Saccharomyces cerevisiae S288C: one gene and its partners. The protein of the gene in region 1 interacts with the protein of each later gene in a biochemical or structural test. Each region holds a gene or a part of one and is shown on either strand. Other genes may lie near its edges.

Evidence for each region.
Region 2: of the proteins of PHO85 (region 1) and PHO4, one has a biochemical effect on the other in vitro, tested with the Saccharomyces cerevisiae proteins (14 studies listed by BioGRID, with this or other methods).
Region 3: the proteins of PHO85 (region 1) and PCL1 form a complex in vitro, tested with the Saccharomyces cerevisiae proteins (4 studies listed by BioGRID, with this or other methods).
Region 4: of the proteins of PHO85 (region 1) and PAH1, one has a biochemical effect on the other in vitro, tested with the Saccharomyces cerevisiae proteins (9 studies listed by BioGRID).

Annotation. Positions count from the first base shown.
Region 1 is NC_001148.4:490,754-496,786, forward strand, and holds PHO85 (cyclin-dependent serine/threonine-protein kinase PHO85), read right to left. Parts: upstream 2,285-6,033; coding exon 2,268-2,284; intron 2,166-2,267; coding exon 1,265-2,165; downstream 1-1,264. Other genes in the region: SVL3 (Svl3p), read right to left, coding at 1-611; TRM44 (tRNA (uracil) methyltransferase), read left to right, coding at 2,790-4,493; ATP-dependent RNA helicase SUV3, read left to right, coding at 4,753-6,033.
Region 2 is NC_001138.5:221,927-227,813, forward strand, and holds PHO4 (phosphate-sensing transcription factor PHO4), read right to left. Parts: upstream 4,033-5,887; coding exon 3,094-4,032; downstream 1-3,093. Other genes in the region: RRT5 (Rrt5p), read right to left, coding at 164-1,033; 60S ribosomal protein eL29 RPL29, read right to left, coding at 1,332-1,511; MIN10 (Min10p), read right to left, coding at 1,784-2,047; QCR6 (ubiquinol--cytochrome-c reductase subunit 6), read right to left, coding at 2,400-2,843; YFR035C (uncharacterized protein), read right to left, coding at 4,195-4,539; YFR035W-A (uncharacterized protein), read left to right, coding at 4,334-4,624; anaphase promoting complex subunit CDC26, read left to right, coding at 5,037-5,411; RSC8 (Rsc8p), read right to left, coding at 5,587-5,887. UniProt on the Saccharomyces cerevisiae protein: Transcriptional activator that regulates the expression of repressible phosphatase under phosphate starvation conditions. Binds to the upstream activating sequence (UAS) of several phosphatase encoding PHO genes.
Region 3 is NC_001146.8:85,433-91,003, reverse strand, and holds PCL1 (Pcl1p), read right to left. Parts: upstream 3,108-5,571; coding exon 2,268-3,107; downstream 1-2,267. Other genes in the region: CCR4-NOT core subunit CAF40, read right to left, coding at 1-701; RFC3 (replication factor C subunit 3), read right to left, coding at 3,764-4,786; MID1 (Mid1p), read left to right, coding at 5,189-5,571. UniProt on the Saccharomyces cerevisiae protein: G1/S-specific cyclin partner of the cyclin-dependent kinase (CDK) PHO85. Essential for the control of the cell cycle at the G1/S (start) transition.
Region 4 is NC_001145.3:587,474-594,745, forward strand, and holds PAH1 (phosphatidate phosphatase PAH1), read right to left. Parts: upstream 5,156-7,272; coding exon 2,567-5,155; downstream 1-2,566. Other genes in the region: MSS11 (Mss11p), read right to left, coding at 1-2,077; MME1 (Mme1p), read right to left, coding at 5,894-7,000. UniProt on the Saccharomyces cerevisiae protein: Mg(2+)-dependent phosphatidate (PA) phosphatase which catalyzes the dephosphorylation of PA to yield diacylglycerol. Required for de novo lipid synthesis and formation of lipid droplets.

The DNA of each region.
Region 1 (6,033 bases):
TTGCACAAATTGATTTTTATGTTGGAAAACAATTTAGCAAACAGTTTTTCAAAAGTGGTTAATAATGTTATAACGCCTGATGAATATTTCTCAGTGCTGGACTTACTTTCGCCGAGGTAAATCGTGTTCTCCTTTGCAGTACTAGGAAAGTGTTTGAAATGGTTTGGACCGATTTGACGAATATCCAAATCAGTCAAAATACTGAAAACGTTTACATGCGGAGATTCCATCGATAATTTGACAAACGGTTCCAATTGGATGAAACCACTGCTTTCTAAGAAAATTTTGGTGTTCGAATCGATTATGGACGTTAACTTGGACGCTAACGAGGATAATTCCTGTAAAGATGGAGCACTCATGATGATTATGTCGAAGACGGCTTCACTTGATTTGGAGCTCAAAGCTTCAGTCAAGTGCTCGATAGAGGTGAAATGATTTTCCAATTCGAACCGGTCTTTGCCGTAGTATTCAGTTTCAATTTCAAATTGACATGATTTTGAATCGTTGACGTGGTAGAGGTCTATATTCTTGGCCAGTTGAAACCTTGAGGTGTAGAACAAGATATTCGGGTTGTTCCCAATAGCTAAAACTCGAAGTGAGGAAGACGACATAACTATAACGTGTGTGAGGGCGAGCAAAGCAATTAAACGAAATTGATCTTATTGGTGAGCGTCAGACTGCTGGAGTTGTGTGTTATAAAATGAAAGAAAAAAAAAAGGAAGTAAAACCAGGGAACGAACCGATAACTATTTCTCCCCTTTCTGTTTGTTCTTGGTTTTGCTTGCTTTGTTCTGATCAAGACCAAAAATAGCTGGGTGGCTACGAATAAGAAGGCCAAGATTAGAAGTGTGTTACTCTCACTAATTGACTGTTTAAAAATAAATAAACAAACAGGTTCAAAGAAACGAGAATAAACAAACAACGAACGCCAACGGAAAGAACCGACGTTGTGTTTGCGTTTACGTTCTGCTCTCTCACTTGACACAACACGAAGACCGAAAACAGCTTGGGAAGCATTCACCGATCGTTATTCGAGAGGTTTCCAGTTTCCTTTTTTTTTTTTTTCACTCGCGGTATAAACGAATGAAAAAAAATAAAAAATTTTCATGTTTTTCCGTTCCGGAAGACAAAGCCTGTCCGCCTTTAAGGCGGTAAAAGCCGTCGTAAAGGCTGTCGTAAGATGAGACTAAAGTAATAGTAGTGTATTATAGATGATTATTATCATTATATATACATGGCTACGGTTTTTCGCTGACGGGCTGCGTTATGAAGCGTGGTGGTAGTACTCTGCAAACCAAGGGTGATGCAGAGCCTGCTTGGCGCTCAGCCTCATATCCGGATTAAGTTGCAAGAGTCCGTGTAAGAAATCCATGAGATTCCCGTCTAGCGGTTCTTTGGTGTGTGGTTGCAATACTTGACGTAGGTCTCTTGGTGGTCGTTGCTGGATATTTGGGTTGTATTTGGGTAACTTTGTTACACTGGGCCATAGGGACTCATTAGGAGTGCCCATGATGTCGAAGATCAATTTCAGTTGTTCTTCGTCGTTGGTGCCAGGAAACAAAGGCTTACCCGTTATCATTTCCGCAAGAATGCACCCACACGACCATATATCAATGGATGTGGAGTACGTCCTAGAACCCATTAGCACATCAGGAGCACGGTACCACAACGTTACGACTTCGCTTGAAAATGTGTTGACCGGAATACCGAAAGCACGGGCCAGACCGAAATCACCCAATTTCAACTGGCCTCTCTTGTTGATTAATAGGTTTTGAGGTTTTAAATCACGGTGGAGAATCTTGTTTTCATGGCAAAAGGCCAGCCCTTGCAGTAGTTGCCACTGGAAGTATTTAACCAAGTTTAGTTCTAGCCCTCTTGGTGTGTTGCCCACGGTGCGGGAATCCATGTATTTCTTTAAATCGTTGTCCATGAATTCAAAAACCAAAGTCAACTTGTTCTCTGTGTGAATAACGTCATAAAGTCTAACAATGTTCTCATGTTTCAATTCTTTCATTAGGGAGATCTCACGGATGGCCGTAGAGGGTGTACCTTCCTCTGAATCCAGTTTTACCTCTTTCAGGGCAACATATACCCCTGTGGTTTTGTTCAGTCCCTTGTACACTGTGGCATACGTACCATTGCCAAGCTTTTCTAACTGCTTAAATCTGTTCATAGAGCTCGAGGTTGATTTTTTCTCGTATATATGTTAGTATTCATCATTTCTAGTTCTTTACTTTCCAATGATACTTGACTAGAAAACTACATACTGTGAAGAAGAAGACATTGGTATTGCTCAAGTTTGCCCAGTTTGCCGCGCTATATATCCCTTATCTGCAATTATACGCTATATGGTAAAACTGGATTCCCTTTGTTATCTTTCAATTAGAAAGCTACGGGCTTACGAGTCTACGTGTATGGTGATTTGTACGGAAAATGAACTGCACACAGAGGACAAGCAAAGGGTCTAGGATAGATAGAAGTAGCGCATCCGGCCTGTCTATCCCTCCGTGTCTATCAATTCATTTAACGTGTCTGGACGGACTATGGTAACTACTTTTTGCGTTTTTGCACCTTCTTCCTGTTTTTTTGGTTTTAGTAGTGCACTTATTCTTCACTTTTTTGCTCTGCATTGTTAAAAATTTCATTTTTTGCATTTTGGAAAACCCGATGACATTATTCTTTGAAATAAACCATATCATTTAGAAAATGCGATTTCCATTACGCAAGATAGACAACGCATTTGGTCCGATTATATTGCTATCTTGTGATACTTCTCCTTTCTCTCAACAATGACTGGCGACGGTAGTGCACATATTTCTAAAAACAATCAAAATCAACACAAAGATCGCTTCAAGTTTATTGTGAATGATAAAAGTATTCTAGGACCTCAATGGTTAAGCCTTTACCAAACGGATGGGAAAGTAACATTCGCAAAGTCCCACTTCGAGCAAGCAATGATGAACGTTATTAGAGAACCAAATATTAACTCTACTGTCATATTAAGAGCGGATATTTTGAAAGAGATCAATCATGCTGCAGAAGCTGGGTCTGAGCCAAAATTTGACGAGTCCGTATTAAAAAAGTTTGAGATCGATAATGGTAATGAAAGCGGTGAAGAAGATGTCAAGAAGATAAATATTGAAGATTTAAACATAAGGTCGTGTGAAACATCTGAGAGTTTAAAATTGTCACCCGTTCATGAATTTGTAAGAAGGATCATTCCTAGGAATTTTTACAAAGATGCTATCATAAACCAAACATGTTTAATCCTAAATAGCAAAGACCCTAATTTTCAGGAGACCTCATTGATTGTATATACGCCGCACATTAACTCTGAGAAAGACTGTCCGTTTTATATTCCAAGAACGCAAAGTGTAGGCATTTTGTTACACCAGTCAGTTCTTTCTGTACACTACATTCCCTTCCCCGAGGATAAAACTGCCTTTACAGATGAATCTGAGCGTGTTGTAAGAACCGCTTATAGGTTATTACAAACTGCTAACAAACACTCAAAGGGTGTGATGCAGGGTTATGAAAAGAGGGTCAATCACGATCAAGTGGTAAATAAAGTCAATTTTCAGAACACATACATTGTTTTGAAGAAAAAATACTCCAAGTTCCTGGTGGAGAATTGGGCAGAGTCTACAGACCCAAAAAAACATGTTTTTGAAGACATAGCCATTGCCGCTTTCCTGATTGAATTATGGATTAAAGTGTACGGTCCAGACTTCCGTTCAAAAATGCAATTTAGAGATTTGGGATGCGGCAATGGTGCTCTTTGTTATATTTTACTGAGTGAAAGTATTAAAGGTCTCGGCATAGATGCAAGGAAGCGCAAATCGTGGTCTATCTACCCGCCTGAAGTGCAATCATCGTTAAAGGAGCAAGTTATAATACCTTCTATCCTTTTAAGACCCCATCCTGCTTTGAAAAGACAAGTACCTCATTTGGAACACAATGGGAGATTTTTCCCAGTCAAGGTGACGCACGAAGTGATTGCCCCCGCAACCGTCGTGTATTCAAGTGAGGACTTACTAAAATCTCCGCAGGTCAATACAGCAGAGTTCCCACCAGATACTTTTATTATAGGTAACCACTCAGATGAGTTGACTTGCTGGATCCCATTACTAGGTCATCCTTATATGGTTATACCTTGTTGCTCTCATAATTTTTCTGGCCAGAGAGTTCGTTTTAACGTAAGGAAACGTTCGCCTAGGTCAAATGAAATCAAAAACCAGAATAACAGTAAGAGCACCTACTCTGGTTTGGTTGATCACGTTGAATATATTTCATCTCGTGTAGGCTGGAAAGTAGAGAAAGAGATGTTAAGGATACCAAGCACAAGAAATGCAGCCATCATAGGTGTAGAAAATGCAACCTTAAAGCATTTTCCAACGCAAGCAGTGTACGATATGATTTGGGAAGACGGTGGAGCTGAAGGGTGGATTCAGAACACAATGTCCTTATTGAAAAGAAACCCAAGAAACCATTAAATAGATGTATCATCTATTATTTGTATGTGCGTTCATTTATAGACTAATTAGAATATCATACGTACATATAAGACTATACAATTTATCTAATTTTTTCATTTTTACTTAAAAATTGATGGTCCATCGTAAACAGCGTTAATAATTTCTTCGCCCGATGCATAGACAATGAGAAGCCAAAATGCAGAAACTTGATACTTTCAAAGAAAGAGGTTCAACTATGAAAAGAAAGAAGATTTAAGTGCCGATAGAGTATACTAGCATGGCACTTGTCAAATACAGCACAGTTTTTTTTCCACTCCGATCATTGCGACTGTTTGTGTCCATCAAGAAAGCATATTACCACAGCGAGCCGCATAGCATCGATCTATTTCATGATAAGGATTGGATTGTGAAAAGACCTAAATTCCTAAATTTACCCAAAAATGAACATTCAAAATTAGATATATTCCAGTTTAATTTTAACAAGTCCGAAAGCAATAATGTGTATTTACAGGATTCATCATTTAAAGATAACCTTGATAAAGCGATGCAATTTATCTATAACGATAAATTGTCATCCTTGGATGCCAAGCAAGTACCAATAAAGAATCTTGCTTGGTTGAAATTAAGAGATTACATATATCAACAACTAAAAGATCCGAAACTGCAAGCCAAAACCTATGTACCTTCGGTAAGTGAGATCATACATCCTTCATCTCCTGGCAATTTGATTTCGTTGCTGATAAATTGCAATAAAATCAGCAATTTAGTCTGGAAATCTGTTCTCAAATATAGCCTGAGTAACAATATAACTACATTGGATAAATTTATCCACGTCCTGCAACAGACCTTCGACCATGTGTACGAGCAGGAGATACTACCCATGATGACGAATACAGATGATACAGATGGCGCTCACAACGTTGACATAACAAATCCAGCAGAGTGGTTTCCGGAGGCAAGAAAGATTAGAAGACATATAATCATGCACATTGGGCCCACGAATTCAGGCAAAACTTATAGAGCGTTACAGAAATTGAAATCCGTGGACCGTGGGTACTACGCAGGGCCGTTAAGACTGCTAGCAAGGGAAGTGTACGATAGATTTCATGCAGAAAAGATAAGATGCAATTTACTGACTGGAGAGGAAGTTATTCGTGATTTGGATGATAGAGGAAATTCAGCAGGGCTGACATCAGGCACAGTAGAAATGGTGCCAATAAATCAAAAATTTGACGTTGTTGTTCTTGATGAAATTCAAATGATGTCTGATGGGGATCGTGGCTGGGCTTGGACGAACGCGCTTTTAGGTGTCGTTTCCAAGGAGGTCCATCTTTGTGGTGAAAAGAGTGTTCTACCTTTGGTTAAGAGCATTGTTAAAATGACTGGCGATAAATTAACGATTAATGAATATGAGAGGTTAGGAAAGTTAAGTGTTGAAGAAAAACCTATCAAAGATGGCATCAAAGGTTTGCGCAAAGGAGATTGCGTCGTTGCGTTTTCAAAGAAGAAAATATTGGATCTCAAGCTAAAGATAGAGAAAGACACCAATTTGAAAGTT
Region 2 (5,887 bases), on another chromosome or scaffold:
GGGTGAAAAAAGTCTTATTTTGTCTTAAAAGGGGTTCCCCCAGCCGCAAAAGAAAAGAAAAGAAAAATAATAGATCAATTTTAGTTTACTTAGCAATAAACGAATATATGTATTTTATGTTAAGTTCTCACTGTTTATACCCCCTTTTCAATTTTATAAAGATCTAAGTAGCAGCCACGGTTGGACGATCGGAAGACGAAGCAGGCGGAGGTGGGACATCATTGGTTTCCGCATTGTCTTGCCCTTCCTGCACTTGCTCCGCTGGCTCTACTGGCGCTGGCGCTGGCGCTGGCTCTGCCAATGCTGCTGGAGGTGGGTCGCGCGCATTGGTTAAGTTGTCCTTGACCAATTGTTTAATTTCTTGAATCTTAGAGACGTAAGCGGGCTTCACTATTATCGATTTGCCCCTCAAAGTAGCTGTCTTGGCCACACTGTCACAAATGTCCCCAATTGGGGTTTCAGATTGCAAAGTGACCAAAGCGGCAGTAATTTGGTGTGGAGCAAAAGGAATACACTTTCTCCTGTACACCTTGGACCTGTAAATCCAGATTTCTTGAGGCGAGTAGAGCTGGAACAACTCACGGATCTCACTGTCGGTTATATCGTCTGGCAGGTCGTGACAGTAAACCGTATCCGCGGCAGTCTCTGGTGTCTTCTTAACCTTATTTTTTTCTTTGGGCTTCTTTACATCCGTGTCTGGAGTAGAGTCTGCCTCGTAAGGAACGTGTAACTTTAGAAATAGTTTCTGATTTTGGAAAACGGTTCCGTTCAAGTCTTGAATGGCCTTCAAAGCCAGAGTATTGTTTGCGAACTGGGCAAATGCTATGCCTAGTGGTTTGCGAGGGTTGCTATTGTGCCTTTTGCTGAATCTGCGGACGGTCTGCGTTGGAATCAACACTGAACTGGCGCCATAGTTGTTTAGGAAGGCATGTAGGTCTCGCTCACTCGCCGTGAATGGCAGGTTCGAAATGTAAACTGTGGTAATGGTAGTGGTAGTGTCACTGGTAGTGTCATTGTTAACTTGTTCTGTCATTGCGGGCTTGTTTGTATGCTTATGTGAGGCCTTATACTTCTCTATGTGTTGCTACTCAGTAGAAGGTCAACACCATTGTTTTATACATCATTTATCTTTTGTTATTAATTTGTGACGCTTCCATTTTGTGGCACATAAGGAGGAAAAAGAAAATTAAAAGAAAAAAAAAAAGAAATAAAAAAAGAAAACGGTACTGGATATTGAGATAAATTTTCCTTCAATTAAGATAATAAAACATGTTATATAAAATCAGACAAAATAATATGTAAATTTTTAACGTATTATAATCTTAAAAAGTTTATTTCTTGGCAGCAGCCAAAGCCTTAGCAGTGCCGTGTAGGGCATGCTTGTGGTTTCTTCTAAACTTTGGATCAACACCTTTCAAAGAAGGGTACTTGTAGGTCTTTGGCTTCTTGATACCGTTTCTGTGAGCCTTTCTGGTTTGGTTGTGAGCGGTATGGTTCTTAGACTTAGCCATTTTCTGGAGAAGACGATGAATGTACGCAGAAATTGCGAATGGTCATTAAAGGTTAGTAAAAATGATTCATAACGGTGGAGGGGAGTAGCGTGGCAGCTAACTGCCAATCTGAAGTGGTGCTAGCGGGGGCAACTTCGAACAAGGGTATGCTAAAGGTAATTGAACGTTCGAGAAAGAGCGTTCGCTATAAGTTCAAACACTGGTAACTTTCCATTATTTTCCCTTCTCTCTTTTTTTCTTTATATCCTCCACTATATGCCACTCAGCGCACCTCAGATTTGGCTACCTGCATTTCCAATGGGCGAAATGGGGACTTCATGATAATATAACGTACTTTCTAACTGTATTGTTGTTCCGGGGTTCTTGAATATTGAATGAAAAATGTTATAAAATAATGGGTTGAATCTTGAAATATGCAGTATTGAAATATTCTGAAATTGTATGTATCCAGAGATTATGGCAAAGCCTAAAGGGAAAATGGTAGACTTCCTACATTGAGAATATCGCTGGTTTTCCCGAGCGCGGCTAGCGACCATTTTTCTTTGTCCTTACAGAACTAAAAAAAAAAAACCAAAAAAAAGTCGAAAACAAGAATACATGCGCTGTATGGGTCTAAGAGTATGTACGGATGTAAAAGAAAACAGTACTAGACAGAGCGCATAAAAAAAGCCTAATCCCTTTTCCGTCTGTATACTTGTGCTCCCTTATAAAAAAAATTAAAAATTAAAAAATAAAAATAAGAATAGTGTATAAAATTATTTTTGCTTTGATTTTAGTTTATTTATTTACTTTCTAAATACAGTAGGTTAAATAAGGATCGGTTTCTTGAAGAAATTGTAACAAGACTCAGAATAAATATGAATATAGGGAATATGACGGATAAACAGACTACTTTAATTTGTCAAATAATCTAGGTGCCGTGGCAGTGTCCAAATAGTGCTGTAGATGGAAAAACTCCTCCACACAGTCCTCCTTGTGTTCAAGATCCGCGTAGCCGGGTTGTTGTTGCTGTATCTTGACTCTCTCAGCACACTCCTCGTAGTGGTGCACAAGGGCCTTACCCTCCTCCGTGTTCTTGAAATGTTCTCTCAAATCTTCCAACTGATCAGTGACTTCTTCCTCTTCTTCCTCATCTTCGTCGTCATCATCATCATCATCTTCGTCTTCGTCTTCATCCTCATCTTCATCCCCATTTTCTTCTTCTTTTTCTTCTCCTTCTGCTGCCTTTTCTTCATGCTGCTCGTTATCGTCATCTTCGGCCGCGGCCACAACAGGCACAACGGTTATCTTTAGTTGTTCCCAGTACTCACCAACTAGTTCCAACATGCCCATTTTCTATTTCTTTTTCTTTATCCGTGTGTGTAGGTGTAAGTGTATATGTGTGCTTCTGTTAATGTGAGTGCGTGTATACAATATGTGCAAATAAGCGCCAACCAATACTGCCCTTAAGACTGAGTAGGTCCTAATCTCGAAAACCCGGTGTGGGCCACTTTCCAGCAAAGCGCCTCTTATAACAAGCACCGCGCAGGGGAGGCGCGCCCCAGTCCGATATGCCCGGAACGTGCTTCCCATTGGTGCACGGTCACGTGCTCACGTTCTGCTGTAGGTGACGGATGTACCGGCAGGCCGCCTCCACGGTGGTCGCTTTGGACGGCGCGGCCGACACATTTTGCTGTTTCCACTCCGCGGGGATTAAAGACGCCAGTTCGTGCAGCGCGACCGCTAATCGATTACGCCGTGCTTGCTCTGCATGCTTGTGTGATTCGCGCTTGTCATCGTCCACGAGCGCGCCCGATGACCGTCGCTTACTCAGCGACCGCGAATGGCTCGATCCGTGCGGCGCGATTACAGGAGACTCACTTGCTACGACCACGCCTTCTGCGCTGCTGCTGGTCTTGGCCGTGACCGGTGATACGCGTCTTGTGCTGTTCGACGGCAGAATAACTTTCGGATATTGCTTTGGTTTCGGTTTCGGTTTCGGAGTTGGGATAACGCTGTCGGGCAATTCGAACAGCGAAGTGGCCGAATCCGGCCCGGGTTTACCTCTGCGCTTGTTCAAATACGGACTACTATTACTCTTGTTTTTAGTGACTTTGTTAGCGGATGTGGTGGAAGTAGCAGTAGCGACCAAGTTCGGCGAAATGGTTACGGGAACCGCACTTTGCGTGTGTATTAGCGGCGAATATAATAGCCGCGGCTTGATTGTAGCAGTTGTAGCTGGGGAGTGGTGCGCATGCGAGGGCATCATCCAGTCCATATCCATACCTTCCACCAGCTCAAAGGCGCGGTCTAGGTCGTCCAACGCGAGACTGTCTTGTTCATTTTCATTCTCGTTCCCATTCTCACTGCTGTTGTGGTTCTCTTGACTGTTCAGCTCGTCGTTTTGCTCGTTGAAGTCCTCGCGCCCATCATGCCGTTTCGTGTTTACGGTGATAAAGTCTCCGACTTTATCAAGAATGCTGCTCTTGGGCTCTAGATCGTCCACAAAACCGTGTATTCCCTCAGAAGTTGTACGGCCCATGACTTTCTGCTACTCTTGTTCTGTCTCCTTTGCTCATCTCTTCTCTTCTGGTCCTTCCGAAGCATGACTTCTTCCCTGGTTATATACATTTTTCTATGGTCAAGACTCATTTGCCAAATATTTCCGTGCGAGCGGCCGGGTCAGCCTTTCGCCTACCACATATTAGGCGAGGCAAAAAAAAAAAAAAATAGAAAACGAGAAAATCGCACTTGCAGCATAGGAAATACTTGCACACAGACATACACATACACACCGTACGCAAAGAAGGCAAGGCAGCAAGAAAAACTGTGGGAACGTAGAAATGAACGTACCTACGGCGCCAACTCCCAACAAACATTTGAACATACCTGATTTGAGGTTCGAGAAAGTGTTCAAGAAAGCTTTACACAGGGAATTGGCACCCTCATCGTCTCTCTCACGGAAGGCGGGTGTGATTACGAAAGTTGTGGTTCGCGATGTCCTGCTCATGCCCTTATTGCAGAGCTTTGTTTTGTCACTCGCGCTCATGGGTGTGAAGGAATGGTTGTCTTACATACGCTTGAAAGGACGAACCCTAGGTGACCGCATTAGACAGAGACTTTTTCCGATCTAAATAATGCATATAACCGTATCTTTTTTATATGAACCTAGTTTTGCTGTATAAGAGCCGAGAAAAAAATATAGGAAAATATAGGAAAATATGCAAAATAGAAACACGAATTTTTTTTTTGTTAGAGAAAAAAAGAGATAAGCCCTGTAGGGGGCTCGAACCCCTAACCTTATGATTAAGAGTCATACGCGCTACCGATTGCGCCAACAAGGCATTTTAATCTCTGGCTACTCGGCACTAAAAGATGCACCACATCCGATGTTTAGGCCGCACCATAATTTTTTCTTTTTCCTGTCTCTTTGTCCTTTCACATTGCACAAAAGTAGAGGAATAATGGATGGATCTAGGATGTACGTATATATGATATTAGCGGTCTGAAGAGAAAAAAAAAACAGCAACAATAACATCGCACTTGATGATCAGAAGGGCCCCTACCACCTTGCAGCTCAGTCACGACGACGTAACCTCTCTGATCGATGACCTGAACGAGCAGAAACTCAAGCAGCAGCTGAATATCGAGAAGACAAAATACTTCCAAGGAAAAAATGGCGGATCGCTGCACTCCAATACAGACTTTCAGGACACATCGCAGAATATCGAAGACAACAATAACGATAACGATAACGATATCGATGAAGATGACGACATGTCATCTTACAACGACAAAGCAGCCTCGGTAGCGCACACCAGAGTCCTCAATTCCTTGCATCTGTCCACCGACAGCAATACCGCCCACGAGACGTCCAATGCAAACGACAACCACAACCCCTTCTACATCCGCGAGGAATAATAGCATATCCGCATACGCACACGCACACGCACACGCGCACGCATCCACATTCACTTTCACTTATAAAATTTCTTCTCTCTAGTTTTATATACGTTGTATTAGAAATATAAAATATGACAATAGTACACTTTGTAGGCTCTCTTTTTTTTTTTTTTTTTTTTTCTTATATATTTTTTTACAATGACCACGGTTTGTACACCTGGGGCTGCAATTTTGCAATGGAGTCGCCTTCGCCTACTTCCTCGCCTTCCTTGCCTACACGTTTCACGCCATGTCCTGTGGCCGTATTGCCGTCTTCGTCATCGCCCTCCTGGTCCTTCTCCACTAGTTGTATGCCCGAGTCTACTTGCTCCGAGATCAGTACCAGTTTCTTCGACACATTCAACTCCTCCAGCGACTTGTTCAGGTCAAGAATCTGTTTACTCAGTGATAATCGGTCGTTCAGCATCTTTTCAGATTCCTTCACATATTTCAGT
Region 3 (5,571 bases), on another chromosome or scaffold:
TCATTTTTGACCAATGCGCCTATCACACCTAATGAAGTCAATCTCAAGTACTCAAAAGTTCTTTGCCTGGAGGTAGTATTTAGGAAGGGGAAAAGAAAGAGAGGAATATGGGCCTGTAAAAAGAGATGTTTTGTCTCTGGGTGAGATGCAACACACTGTAGAAGAACTAGAGCGTTGCATACACGATTTGATAGATTGTTAGAGAGCATCTGAGGTTGCAGCATGGGATATACGGAAATGATTTCGTTCAGCAATGAGGTCATTACACCAAAGGAAGACCAAAGCACAACGGCAAGGTCATCAAACTGTTCTCTTTTGCGACCTAATTCAAGCAGTGCTTGTTCCTTTTGAGGGCCGTAGGTCAATTGACAAATCCAGTGGTATACATTGGGATCATCTAGAGCATGCACTGCGCCTCTATTATTGACCATGTTGGGATTGTTTCGAGTTGCGTTAGCATCGTTACCGCCGTTATTGCCGTTATTGCCGTTGTTCTCGCCATTTTCATTGCTATTATTATTATTCGGAGTATTGCCCATTAGCATGGGGCCTCCACTTGGAATTTGTTGATTCATGCCTGGACCCATTGAAGTTGGAACCCCAGGCATGGACATAGATCCTGGATTATTAGTTGAAGGACCACCACCACCCATGTTCACGCCTGCTCCATTGCCATATATTGGCTTTTGAGCGGAAAACATATTAACTTATTCAGAGGATGTTCAGTTGCTGTCGTTGTTGCTTCAGGAACAAAGTTTAATCTCGTCAAGATCAGCAGAAACACACACACTCGCAAATTTGTCAAAACTTGGGAGTTTTAAAAGATGAACGGTTTCTAACTTGCGTACTCTACGTCTTTGCAATCCCTTTACAATGTCTTCTATGCGTAAATTACTTTAAATTTGGATTTTGCCTCTTGCTGCTCGCAGCAAAATTCTCAGCATGTTGAGGTGTGTGGGTGGAGTTTTTCCTCTCCTGCTAGTAATACTTATGCAAGAATCTACGTCTAATGAGGTGCTCACGTTTTGCAATGATGATATAAATAGGGACAGTAATCTAATATAGACAAGTGGGCGTAATAGGGTTTTCTTCTCTCTCTTATGCATTCTGTAAGCATCTCGCTTTATGTGAGGAATAGTAGTAAAAGCGTATGATACAGGGAAATAGTAGTACTTTTACAATAGTATTGCTACTTGCATTCCCAAAAACATTCAATAAATGCACTTGGTTTCGAGCGTCTTTTGTTTATTTTTAAGTTTTGTTTGTTTTTTTTATTGTTTTGCTTCGTAGTTTCAATTTTAAACATTAATGTGTGCAAAAACTATAAGACAATGGTATACGCAAGAAAAACTATAAGTAGCATATTTAGTCTACTCCGAGCCATATCGGAAAGAACAATGTCGCGTCTTGCAAAGGCTGTTAATACATAGAATAGGCCACTCCAGGCATGTAAATACATGATTGATTGGATGAGCAACACTGAAATGGACCAGTGGCAACCTAACAGGATTTCTGATCTATTTCACGCCCAGAAAAAAGGCGTACATTCTATAATCTACTTAACAGACCTATACAAGCACTGTCCTACATATTTCAAAAGATTTAATTTACATATCGATTCCGTTCAACGTAAACAGTTTGCTCATAATACAGTCACAGATGTGAGAGAAAAAAAAAAAAGAAAATAAAGGAAAATGGATCAGAAATTTGGGTATACTTAATGCTTCATAGGACACCTGAGTACTTGTGGCATCCATGTTCAGACTGGTGCACAGCTTTTTTCTCGTCATTTACCATTTTTCCTTGAATTCATGTTTAATTTTCATCTTCGTCATGTGTTAAGGTACTATTACGAAACAAAATGTTAACGCCTTTGATAAACTTATCAAAGTTACGAGACCGGTTCGCACTACGATACTTTGCTATTGCTTCATTTTTTCTATCATATGTAAAACATAAACCACTGAGAGAAAACTTCTGCATTTAAATCAAATATGTCCGCCTTTTATACTTTAAGAAGAAAAAATTTATCTTTTTTCTTCCTCATATTGCAGGTATCACCCGAATGGAAGTTATAACGGCACAATCACTTAGGGCTTAACATACAATAACAAATACCATTTTTAATGTTGTGTTCAGTTGATTGTTATTATTATTAGGTATCCTTGATTATTTAAATTTATAATATATTATGTATCCGTTAATTATGCTCTATTAAAAATCTTTCTCCCACTAAGAGCCCCGTAAGGGCCATCTTGTTTACCACATTAAAACCCATGTTGACTCATGATCTGTTCCAGATCCCAACTTTGCCTGTTGACATTGTCGTTCCATTTCTCTACCGTCCTGACGTAATTCGTGTTAGCGACTGTGTTGTTCGCTATGTTGGTTACATCTTTTAGCCTTCTTAGATCATTACAACTGTCGACTAGAGTAGCAGAACTTAAATCGGATGCTATCGACACGTTTCTCTGTTTTTCGTAGAGTTTGAATCTGTTGTTTGATCTGATAGGACTCGTGCCAGCACAAGTCCTTCTGTTCATGGACATCATCATGTTAATTCTCTTCCTTTGGTCGCTGGATCTTGCCAAGTCTTGCTTGATGGGCTCTAATAGAGGCTGCAGATCTAGGATCAAATCTTCTGTGTTCACCCTGAGGTCCCAGTTCAACAGCTGTAACAACTGCCTTTCCATAAGGTTGATATCCTCTAGTGTAAAGAGACCATCGGTGTACCTAGCCCAGTGCTTGTTTAAAGGAGAAGAGTCATTGTGAAACTTAGCACTCAGTATCAAACAGGCCAAGAAAATGCGATGGATGGTCGAGGGGAGACCAGTAGCGTCCCTGGGCAGAATACGCTTTAATTTGTTCAAATAGCACGCAGCGGTGAGCAGAGTGGGTGTGTAGACGTTGGTGTATCTGACCAATCTAGTGATAAAAGTCATTAGCGATGGCAGCCTTGTGAGGTGTTTCTCTCCTGGAGAACCGGGAGGCGTGGGGTAGTTGCTTGAAGGAACAACCCTCAATGTTGTGTCTGTTAAGAATTTTATTATGTCATCCGTTACTGGCGACTTGAGCAGAATATGAAGAGCCTTGCTGTATTCACACATTTTATTACTTTACTGTTATTTGTATAATTGATTGTTTTTGTTATCGTTTTTGTTCTTGACAATGGATGATTGCTGATGTACGCAATAGTAATTCCAAGACACAAGAGTTAAGGACAAGCTTATCAATCCCATTACCATGTAGGCCTATTGACCTTATATATGTTTTCCTATCGCTATATGGAAGCTACCATTCCTTTTATTCTCCATAATAACGCCAAAATCTGCCCACAGCCTTGTAGCCTCATTTGGCTCCCGACATTTCGAGTCGCTTTTGCGTCGCATGCCTCCGCGAAAAATTTCGCGCCGGACGCGATTTTTAACACGAAATTCTTGTTCGTGCCGCTGTTGCCCTTTTGGGAAATATTTCCCGATCTGGCATTCGCAGAACACTAGAGCCAGAGTTCTGCCATTCTTTACGTCCAAGAGGTTAAAGTACAGATCACGTAACGGAATGCTACTTTCTGTAACAATTTGGCGATTCGCATTCTCAGTTGTTAGCTAGACGCCAATTGATTTACGGTTTCCGGTATGCAAATTGAAAATGCTTTCATCTATTTCTTTTATTTTTTTTATTTCGTTCTGGGCGTTGTGTTATGTTGTTATATTGCACAATGCAGTTGTTCTGTACATATTGTATCTATACATATTTGCGTCGATTATACGTTGGCTTTAACAGTTTCGTTCTCGAAGCTGGCCTTGATGGCGCCAATGACCGCGCTGCCCTGAATCTGGTCGTTGCCACCCTTGGATATCGAGTACTCTATATCGGCCAGTTTGGTAAGCAAATGCACTCTTGTTTCCTCATTTTGAAGTTCGTAGTCTTCCAGTATCTTCACTATGCCCTCGATTAGGTCGATCAACGCGAGACCCTTGGCACTGCGTACCTTATTAAGTGTGTAGTGGGCGGTACCCCAATCGTCCTCCAGTATCGACTTCAATACTGCCTTTAAGTCACTTGGTCTGGGTGCCCCACAGCATTCATAGATAACGTCGTCACTGATCTCATCCTCGTCGGGATTGTCTAAAGTAGCTTTGCAAGACTGCAAAACGTTTAACACACGTCTCATATCCCCATTAGAAAGTTCTATTAAGGCCTTCTCCGCATTAGGAGACAACTTCAGCTTCTCATGCACCAAGACGTTGGCTATCCGACGCTCAATGGCCTCTTGGGGCAAGGGCTGAAATCTGAATCTCGTGCACCTACTCAATAACGCAGGTGTAAGTTTATGCGCATAATTGGCCAATACACAGAACCGCGTATTCTTGGTGTACCGTTCTATAACTCTTCTCAACGCATTTTGTGCGGCATTGGTCATGGCATCTGCTTCATCCAGTATAATTAACTTGAACCCTTTAGAGAAGATTTGTCTTGTAGAGGCAAAGTCTTTAATTTGATTCCTCACCACATCAATACCTCTGTCATCGGATGCATTCAGCTCCAAAACCATGTTCGAGTAATTCTTACCATATATCTCACGTGCCAAAGCAACAATTGTAGAAGTTTTACCGGTACCTGGAGGCCCATAGAATAGAAGATGTGGCAATTTACCTTCATCTACAAATTTACGAACTGTGGTGATCACCTCATTTTGTCCGTACACTTCGTCCAACGTTTCGGGTCTGTATTTTTCAACCCATGGAAGGTTTTCTTTGCTCCTCTTCTCTGTACTTGTCGACATTCTTGTATGTCGGGCCTGTTCCTACACCTTTTATAAAATTATTCAAGCTTTGAAAAGATATTTATCCTGTGCTCTTTATAGCTTCTTTCCATTTCTTTCAAAATCGCGTACTGACCAAAAAAAAAAAAGATCAAAATTGAGAAGCCATACATAATATAATAATGATATAGTTTCGCTGCCATCGGACCGCAATAGTAACTCTACAAGTAAACGTGTTGTTTTCTCAAGAACAGGTTACTGAAACTGAGCCATTGGTTGCGGAAAATTTCCCTAATAATTTCGACCGGCTGACGTACCGTTTTGGCTATTTCTCAAATACTTGACTGGCTTAACTGCCATACTGAATTGCAGTAAAACCCGTAACACTACAATTTCTGTCCAGCGGCAGTATTATTTCTAAGGATGATAGTGTGGCAAGCACTATTCGTGGTTTACTGCCTATTTACCACTTCTATTCACGGTTTATTCCAAGACTTCAATCCTTTCGCAAATAAGAATATTTCCTTAAAGTTTCCCAGCCTAAATAGATGGGAGAAAAACGTTATGGCTACTGGTCAACAAACAATCATCAATTCGGATAGCATTTATGAATGGACCCCGATCTTATCTAACATAACAGCGGGCAAAAAAGACAGTTTTGTATTTACCATTGACGCAGAAGCCTCCGGTTATGGGTTTGCTCCCACGTATGAAGTGTTAATGTTTATTAGCGGCAATATATGCCAAATGCCCATGAATAGATCAGATGTGGATTTAACAATATACTACTCTTTTAATGAAACGGT
Region 4 (7,272 bases), on another chromosome or scaffold:
ATTTCATAACTTTCTGAGCTGCAGCAACTTTTCTTGATTCCTTGGTCTTTGTTTTACCCACTCTCTGTTTCCGCTTGGGTTGAATTGTTGTAGTTATATTAGGAGTTGTGCTGGAGCTAGAAGTACATTTTGATGATGGTTGTGATACTGTGGGTGTATTATTACTATTATTATTATTATTATTATTATTATTATTATTATTACTATTATTACTATTATTATTATTATTATTATTGTTGTTGTTGTTATTGTTATTGTTATTGTTAGGCAAAGGAAAGACGGAGGTAGAATCATTTTGTGGTACTGAAGTATTGGTTTTATAATGTTGTGGTAGATGAAATTGTTGTTGCGGAGCGAACGCATGCATTGCGGAAGAAACATTTTGATATAAGGGCTGCATATTGATCATAGGGTTTTGTCCGGATGGATTAGTCTGCCTCATACCTGGATTTTCAATGACAGGAGACCCCATATTTCCTGGTTGTAATGGCATAGTGTTGTTAGCTGGCGCTATACGATTAGTGTCTGGAGGAAAGGCACTATTTTGTAATTGCTGGTTAGCCGCCATTCTTTGCATCATCATATGCATGTACTGCTGTTGAGATGTTATATCACTAACAACCGGATTTGCGACAGTGCTTTGATTTTTCATTTGTTGAGGAATTGTTTTCATCTTATTGAAGCGGGCTCGTATGTGTTCTTGCAATAAACTATTGCCATTTGCGTTATTGTCATTTGTGGGCGTAGTTTCTTCCGCAGTATTGTTACGTGTATTAGATTGATAATTTTGATTTCCAAGATTTTGCTGTAGTGAATTTTGCTGTAGTGCTTGCTGCTGAAAAAACATTTTCATAGCGTTCATGTCATCAAACCTGCCAGATTGGCTTTGCTGAAAAGATGGCGCCTGTCCTTGATTTTGGTGGTGTAATTGATATTGAAAGAAGCGCTGCTGGTCTGAAAACATTGAAGATTGGGTTTGTGCATTAAATTGTTGATTTGTAGGAGGCACTGAAGGCATAAGTCCGGTTGAATGAGAATTTTCCGATGGAATATGAGGGACCATTTGTGGGTTGACAATAGGATACGGTGTCTGTTGCTGCTGTTGATGTTGTTGCTGTTGCTGTTGCTGTTGCTGCTGTTGCTGTTGCTGTTGCTGTTGCTGTTGTTGTTGTTGTTGTTGCTGTTGCTGTTGCTGTTGCGGTTGATGCTGGGGTTGATGCTGAGGCTGCTGGATCTGCTGTTGAGATGATTGCTGGGGCTGTGCTGGTGATTGCAAATCATTGAAGTGTTTATGTAGATTTATAGTTGCGTACTGCTGCCCAGCAATATCACTGTTTATAGCAGTATCAGGTGCAAAATTAGCGCTATTCTGTTTGTCGTAGACACCGGAAGTTCTCGATAGAAATCTTTCGGAGACGTTTCGATTGGTTGGATCGTTTAAATTAAAGTTACTTCCGTCACCATTGGGCCTAAAACTCTCCTCTGAAACTGGAAAACTATTTTGAGTTGGTGGAATCACATTTGGTGGGAGATTAGAGAAATGGGAAGGCATATTAGATTTAGAATTAGCTGGCAAAATTGGTATTATTCTCTCTCTTAAAGGATTATGATCCTGTTGGTACCCAGATTCTAGGTCTCCATTGAACAATGATTGAAAAATTTCCCACCATTCCAGTAAAAACGTGTCATTAGCGTCCATCAGCATTTTCGAAGGTAATAGCCCATCTTCACTAACAATGTCACCCTTAGATGCAATATCCATTAATCCCTGCTTCAGGCTGGCGTTCAAGCTAGTTTTCCCACCCGAAGCAGATCCGTTTATTCTAGATAAAGGAAGGTCAGCTTCGCTTAAAAATTTTGCGGCAGAGTTCCAGTAATTGTTTTTGATTAAATAGTTATAAATATGGGCGTACAATAATTGCTTAGAGTTCTTAGCCATTACATCCGAAACGAAAACTCGAGAATCCGCATCAAACTGCAACTGAGTATGGCTATTCAAACCTTTGATATTGGGAGCTGAGCTAAAATCCGTGTTACTAGAGCGCTCATTTGTATTAATATTGGTCGTGTTATCCATATCTTTATCATGCACCTTTTTCTTATTTCACTGCAGTTTAACGAAAAATTGACAAAAGAACCGGGAGATACCAAAGGGAAAAACCAAAAGAGTCACACAGGATTGCAATAGAAATCTTTCTGGTCTTTTCTACTATGGTGATTTTATTATACCCCTCCTCTTCCTGTTATACACGCATTGTATTTCGGCATTGCCTCTTGGCCGCTTTTTTCACCTGACGTAATACCTGTTGCAGCAAGCGAGTTTCGTGTGCGTATAGAAAAGTATTTACCTTGACATTTCGAAGAAGTATGTAATTACCAAATAGCTCAGAAGAACACTTGGTACGTAACAATCATCGTTTACCTTTTTCTTCTATCAAAAAATTTTCTTCTTTTTTTTTTCCTTCTCTTTTCTTAAATAAAATTGAAAAATTGTTACTTAGTACTTCATAATTTTACTTAATATGCAGTATGGATCGTTATAAATAATATTCGGCTACAAGAATCTTTAATCTTCGAATTCATCTTCGTCGAATTCATCGTCATCGAATTCATCGCTTACTCTTGAATCCAAATCTTTATCGTCCATTGAGTTGTGGGGTAGCTGATTGCGCCCTGTTTCATTAACACTTTGCTCCCTTCGTGATTCGGTATCTGAATTCCCAAGTGAATGTACGTCATTTGAAACGTTGATCTTTGAAACAATTCTTGTTGGAGCGCCGGCCTTTGACACAGAGAGCTTTTTGAACTCTTTATCGATACTAGTCGCGGCTGCAGAAGATGCTCTCCTTGATTTAGTTCTATTGTAATTGGAGTCTTCATCATCCATATCGTCTAAATATCTTAGTTTTGGCGATGCAAGTGGAGAACCTAGCTCCAAATATATTTGTTTTCCAATGTCCCCTTTGGACATTGTAGATTTATTGGGCGTGGATCCTGAGCTACTATGGGAACTCACCAGGTCAGACGCATTTTCTACATCAGACGAAGCGGCTAAAACTTCGTTGTTATTTGTGCTGCCGCTCACATTTCTTTGCGGGGCTTTAGTGACCTTGGCGGTTTTGACTGAATTTGCCCTATTTCTACTAATGTTGCTTTGTTGTGATACGTCAGTATCTTCATCGATGTTATCAGAATCATCATTGCTAATATCCGATAAGTTGTCGATGTCGACTAACGGGTCTCTCCAAAAATTTACGTCTGTGAATTTCTCTTCCTGATTGCCTCTAAATAGCGTTTTGCGACCTGAAGTAATTTCTGAGTCAAAGTTATCCAACGTTCTATTAGGGGGGGAGCCAGGAACCATGGAAGTATTAGTTCTTAGATCGACACTATCAAGGCTGACTGGTGGAAAGAAATGATCGACAAGCTCATTGATATGAATATAGGAGCTTCTGTAACCTGCTAACTCCAATAATTCCATATGAACCTCACCCTCTGTATTTATTGTGAAAATTCTTGAACTAGGTATCCCCACAGTTCTGTAAGATAAAGCATCAGTAATCCTATTACCAAAGCCGGCAAAAAATGGTGTTGATTTTTCCTCTGTATCCACTTCGTTATCACTGTCTTCAAAATACAAGGATCTTATGTCGTTTAGACACGCGATTTTAAAGACTTCAGGTTTTTTTAGTATTACTTCCCGCCTTAACGCAGCCATCGTTCTATCGGGTGATAAAATCACAGGCCCATTTGGTAGTTTGCTGCCATTCTGTTCAATTGATCGCAAATAACTCCTCGTGGAATCAGCTTGTCCAGCACTTCTTGCAGTTAGATAGAGTATATTATAGCCATTCCTGGAGATCTCGCTAAATAACTTGGCTACACCCAAGTGCGTCCAGTCTTTTCCTATCATTGCCAGAACATGGCCTAAAGCGTCCGATTTTGTGATGGTGCCATCAATATCACTGATAACAATTGGAACATCCCACCTCCAAACGAATAATTTTGACGTAACAATAGCTTTTCCGTGATCTACGGAAAATTTCAGATCATTTTCACCATAAGTTAAATTTAGGCACTTTAACTGGTCATTAGTCAATCTTATCGTTCGTATGTATCTTTTCTCGGTCTCACCGCTCCCTGCTGTTCCTTTCTTGCTAGTTTTTTCACTTTTACTGCTTTGTTCTTTGCTAAATGATGTTTCGTCCTCAGTATCGGAACCAGAAGGTGAAGAAGATAACGAATTCAAAGTACTTCCTGATTCCATTGCATCTAAGCCTAAAACTGATCCGCTTGTGGCCATTGTTGGAGGCGTACCTGGAGGAGATAAATCAGTAAGGTGCTCGTAAGGATTTACGATCTTGATGTTGCCATTTTTGTCCTCCTTGATAAAACTGGAAATATCTGAATCATTACCGAATTCGTCCTTTAACAACTGCTTCAGTTGTATGTCTGTGTCATGCATCATATTCTTGTTTGGCTTGTAACCTTCAGTGTCTAGTAGTAAGTCGCCATTGTTATCAAGTTTACTGGGTATATGGATTTCAGTGAGTTTTTTGTTTAGTTTTTGCTGAAAGTTCTTTGTACGCTGCTCAACAAGCTTCCTCTCTTCAACTGAATCTGGTGGTGTCGTTGTAGAGGATTCAGTAGGAGAAAGCGACCCTGTAGTTTCACTATTTTTACTGCCTGAATCTCCAGTGTCATTGATATCTAAAAAATCTGGTTCCTCTAGCACTTTCTTTTCCTTCTTCTTATTTTCATTTTCACCTTCACCTTCACCCTCGGTTCCTCCTTCTAAGATGGATGTTTCAGGTGATTGAGGGGGGCTTGATGTGGCGCTCATCACGGGCGACACAAGCAATTCGTCAGGGACATCAGTGACCTGGTCACCCATCTCGAAAACGAAATAGGCTTCTCCAGAATCACTCAGTTTCATTGGCATATTACTCAGTTTCTCATTTATAAACACTTGGACTTTCTTTTGAGATGGCTTTAGAATTTGAAATTTGCCGAACCTCACATGAAAGGGAGAACATGATAGCCTTCCGTCTGGATGCTCCACTACAATGACATCTATAGCACCTGATAGCGTAGCCGGATTGATAGAAGACCATGTTTTAGACACAGACCCAAGAGCTCTGCCTACGTACTGCATAATCGACCGATGTGTCTATCTTCAGTAATTTCTTCCCTGTATGTTTCTTAGAAGGTAAAACTGTGATTACGAAGGTGTAGTGTCCAATTGGTCTGATTAACACTTCTTGAACACGTTTTACTAAATTGTTGAATGTATTTTCTTTATAAACACAAGCCCCCACGATGGCCTACTCTTCACTTGTCCTTGCTCTTCCTTCTACCCTCACCGTGCGCTGCTTTCAACGCTGGCCGGAAAAGCCGAGAAAAAGAGATAGATAATAGAGAAAAGAGAGCCCATTGTCTAAAGGGAGGGAAACCGAAGGACGAAAAGGGCCCGCGACAGACCGTTTAGAGAATGAGCAGCACGTGGGCACTTCGATTTTGTCTCCCAGTGATGTAGTGTTATGATATACAAGATGAGTTTGGACCCTGTTCAAGCAAATCTGTCACATTTGTTAGACTTTTTTTTAAACGAGCCCTCCAAACAAGAACGCTCAGTGTTAGGAACTGCGAACGAAGAGAGAAATGCGTATTAAACTTAGATGAGTATTCTTGCCGTAAATGACTATATACAAAACTTATTCGGAAGAACCTATATCTATGTATGTGAAATGATAAGTACAAGACCCACTGTGATGTGCAGTGATGGCGAATAGGGTGAGGTCCCTTGTACTGTCTTTATTGTAGCCGCTTGTAGGAAAAGTTTTATCACATAAAATTATCCTCTAGAGAGTTAGATGAGCCAGAAATCAGGCTCTTAGTCCGTTGGAAATGCGTTACTTAATCCGCGTAGGGTCATTTGATACAGAAGCAACATTATACTGCTCTGAACACTTGTCCAGACGAATCTAGGGCCAACGCCACTAAAGAAACCTAACACACCTTCAGATTGGTAGACCGTCCGAAGGCTGAGCGAAATCGAGTTGGAAAGTGCTGCCGGTCTGCCGTTTGTTACATGTGGATGTGTTACTGAGTATGATTTGTTGCTTTGGCTGGGCGGCTGTTGAGTTTGGACTCTAGTCTTAACAACATCCATTGGTGTGGTAATGATTCCCGCCAGTCCACCTGCACAGGCACCAGTCAATATTTCATTAGGTATAGACAACTCACCATCCCTACCATCTTTCTGTTCAATCTTGAAAGCCAATTGCCTAAACTTTTCGTAGAAGGCAAACTGCAATGCACTAAATGGCAAATCTCTGGCTAAAGTGGCTTTGTATCCAAAAAATAGTGAGCGAAACCCTTCTTCTTTTATAACTGTCTTTATGGCATTTCTTAAATTCGAATAATTATAGCCAGATTGAAAGAAAGGATTATTGAACCTTCCTTGCAATTGTAGCCTTGTCTTTAGGACCTCTGATGGAACATAAACAAAACTGGAGATAAAATCGCCAAGAAATCCAGCGCTCAAATGTGTGATGGTATCGTTAATCTGCCAATCTTCTATCATTGTTCTCTTAGTATATTCATAGGTCCCAAAGAAGATTGCCGCTGACGGGAAGGAGCCTAACATGGCAGCCATGTAACCGCCGTATAGCCCCCTTCTCACGCCTTCTTCTAGCCAAATGGTACGATATGCAGAGATCATGTTCCTGTATTTTTTGACATTGGGTGCGCCCTGTTGTCTTGTCTTAACAGTATCCAATGAATGCATCGCAGAATCTCCTATTTTTCCACCAATCCCACCGGAGACGACACAATGCCATATAGGGCTTAAGTCCTCATCTGAATCGCCTCTTTTTTTGTGCAGTTTATCATCTTTTCGGTTATTATTTGGTTGATCTGGAGTTCCTTCTGATGTCGGGGGATGGTCATGAGGCGTATGTATTATCGGTATTGAAGAACTCAGGTTCCATGAGTTCATTATCTTTTATACCAGTCGGTTGGAAGTGAAGATTATTATGCGTGCTTCGTTAGAATACTCAGCGTTTGTTTTCGGCTTGCTTTGATGTTTTTTCAAATTAATGAACACAATGTAAGAAGTCGCTATCGTTGTAGGGTCCTAGAGATGTCAAGTTAGAGTTCAATCGCAAGAAAAATAGGAATGTGATACCTTCTATTGCATGCAAAGATAGTGTAGGAGGCGCTGCTATTGCCAAAGACTTTTGAGACCGCTTGCTGTTTCATTATAGTTGA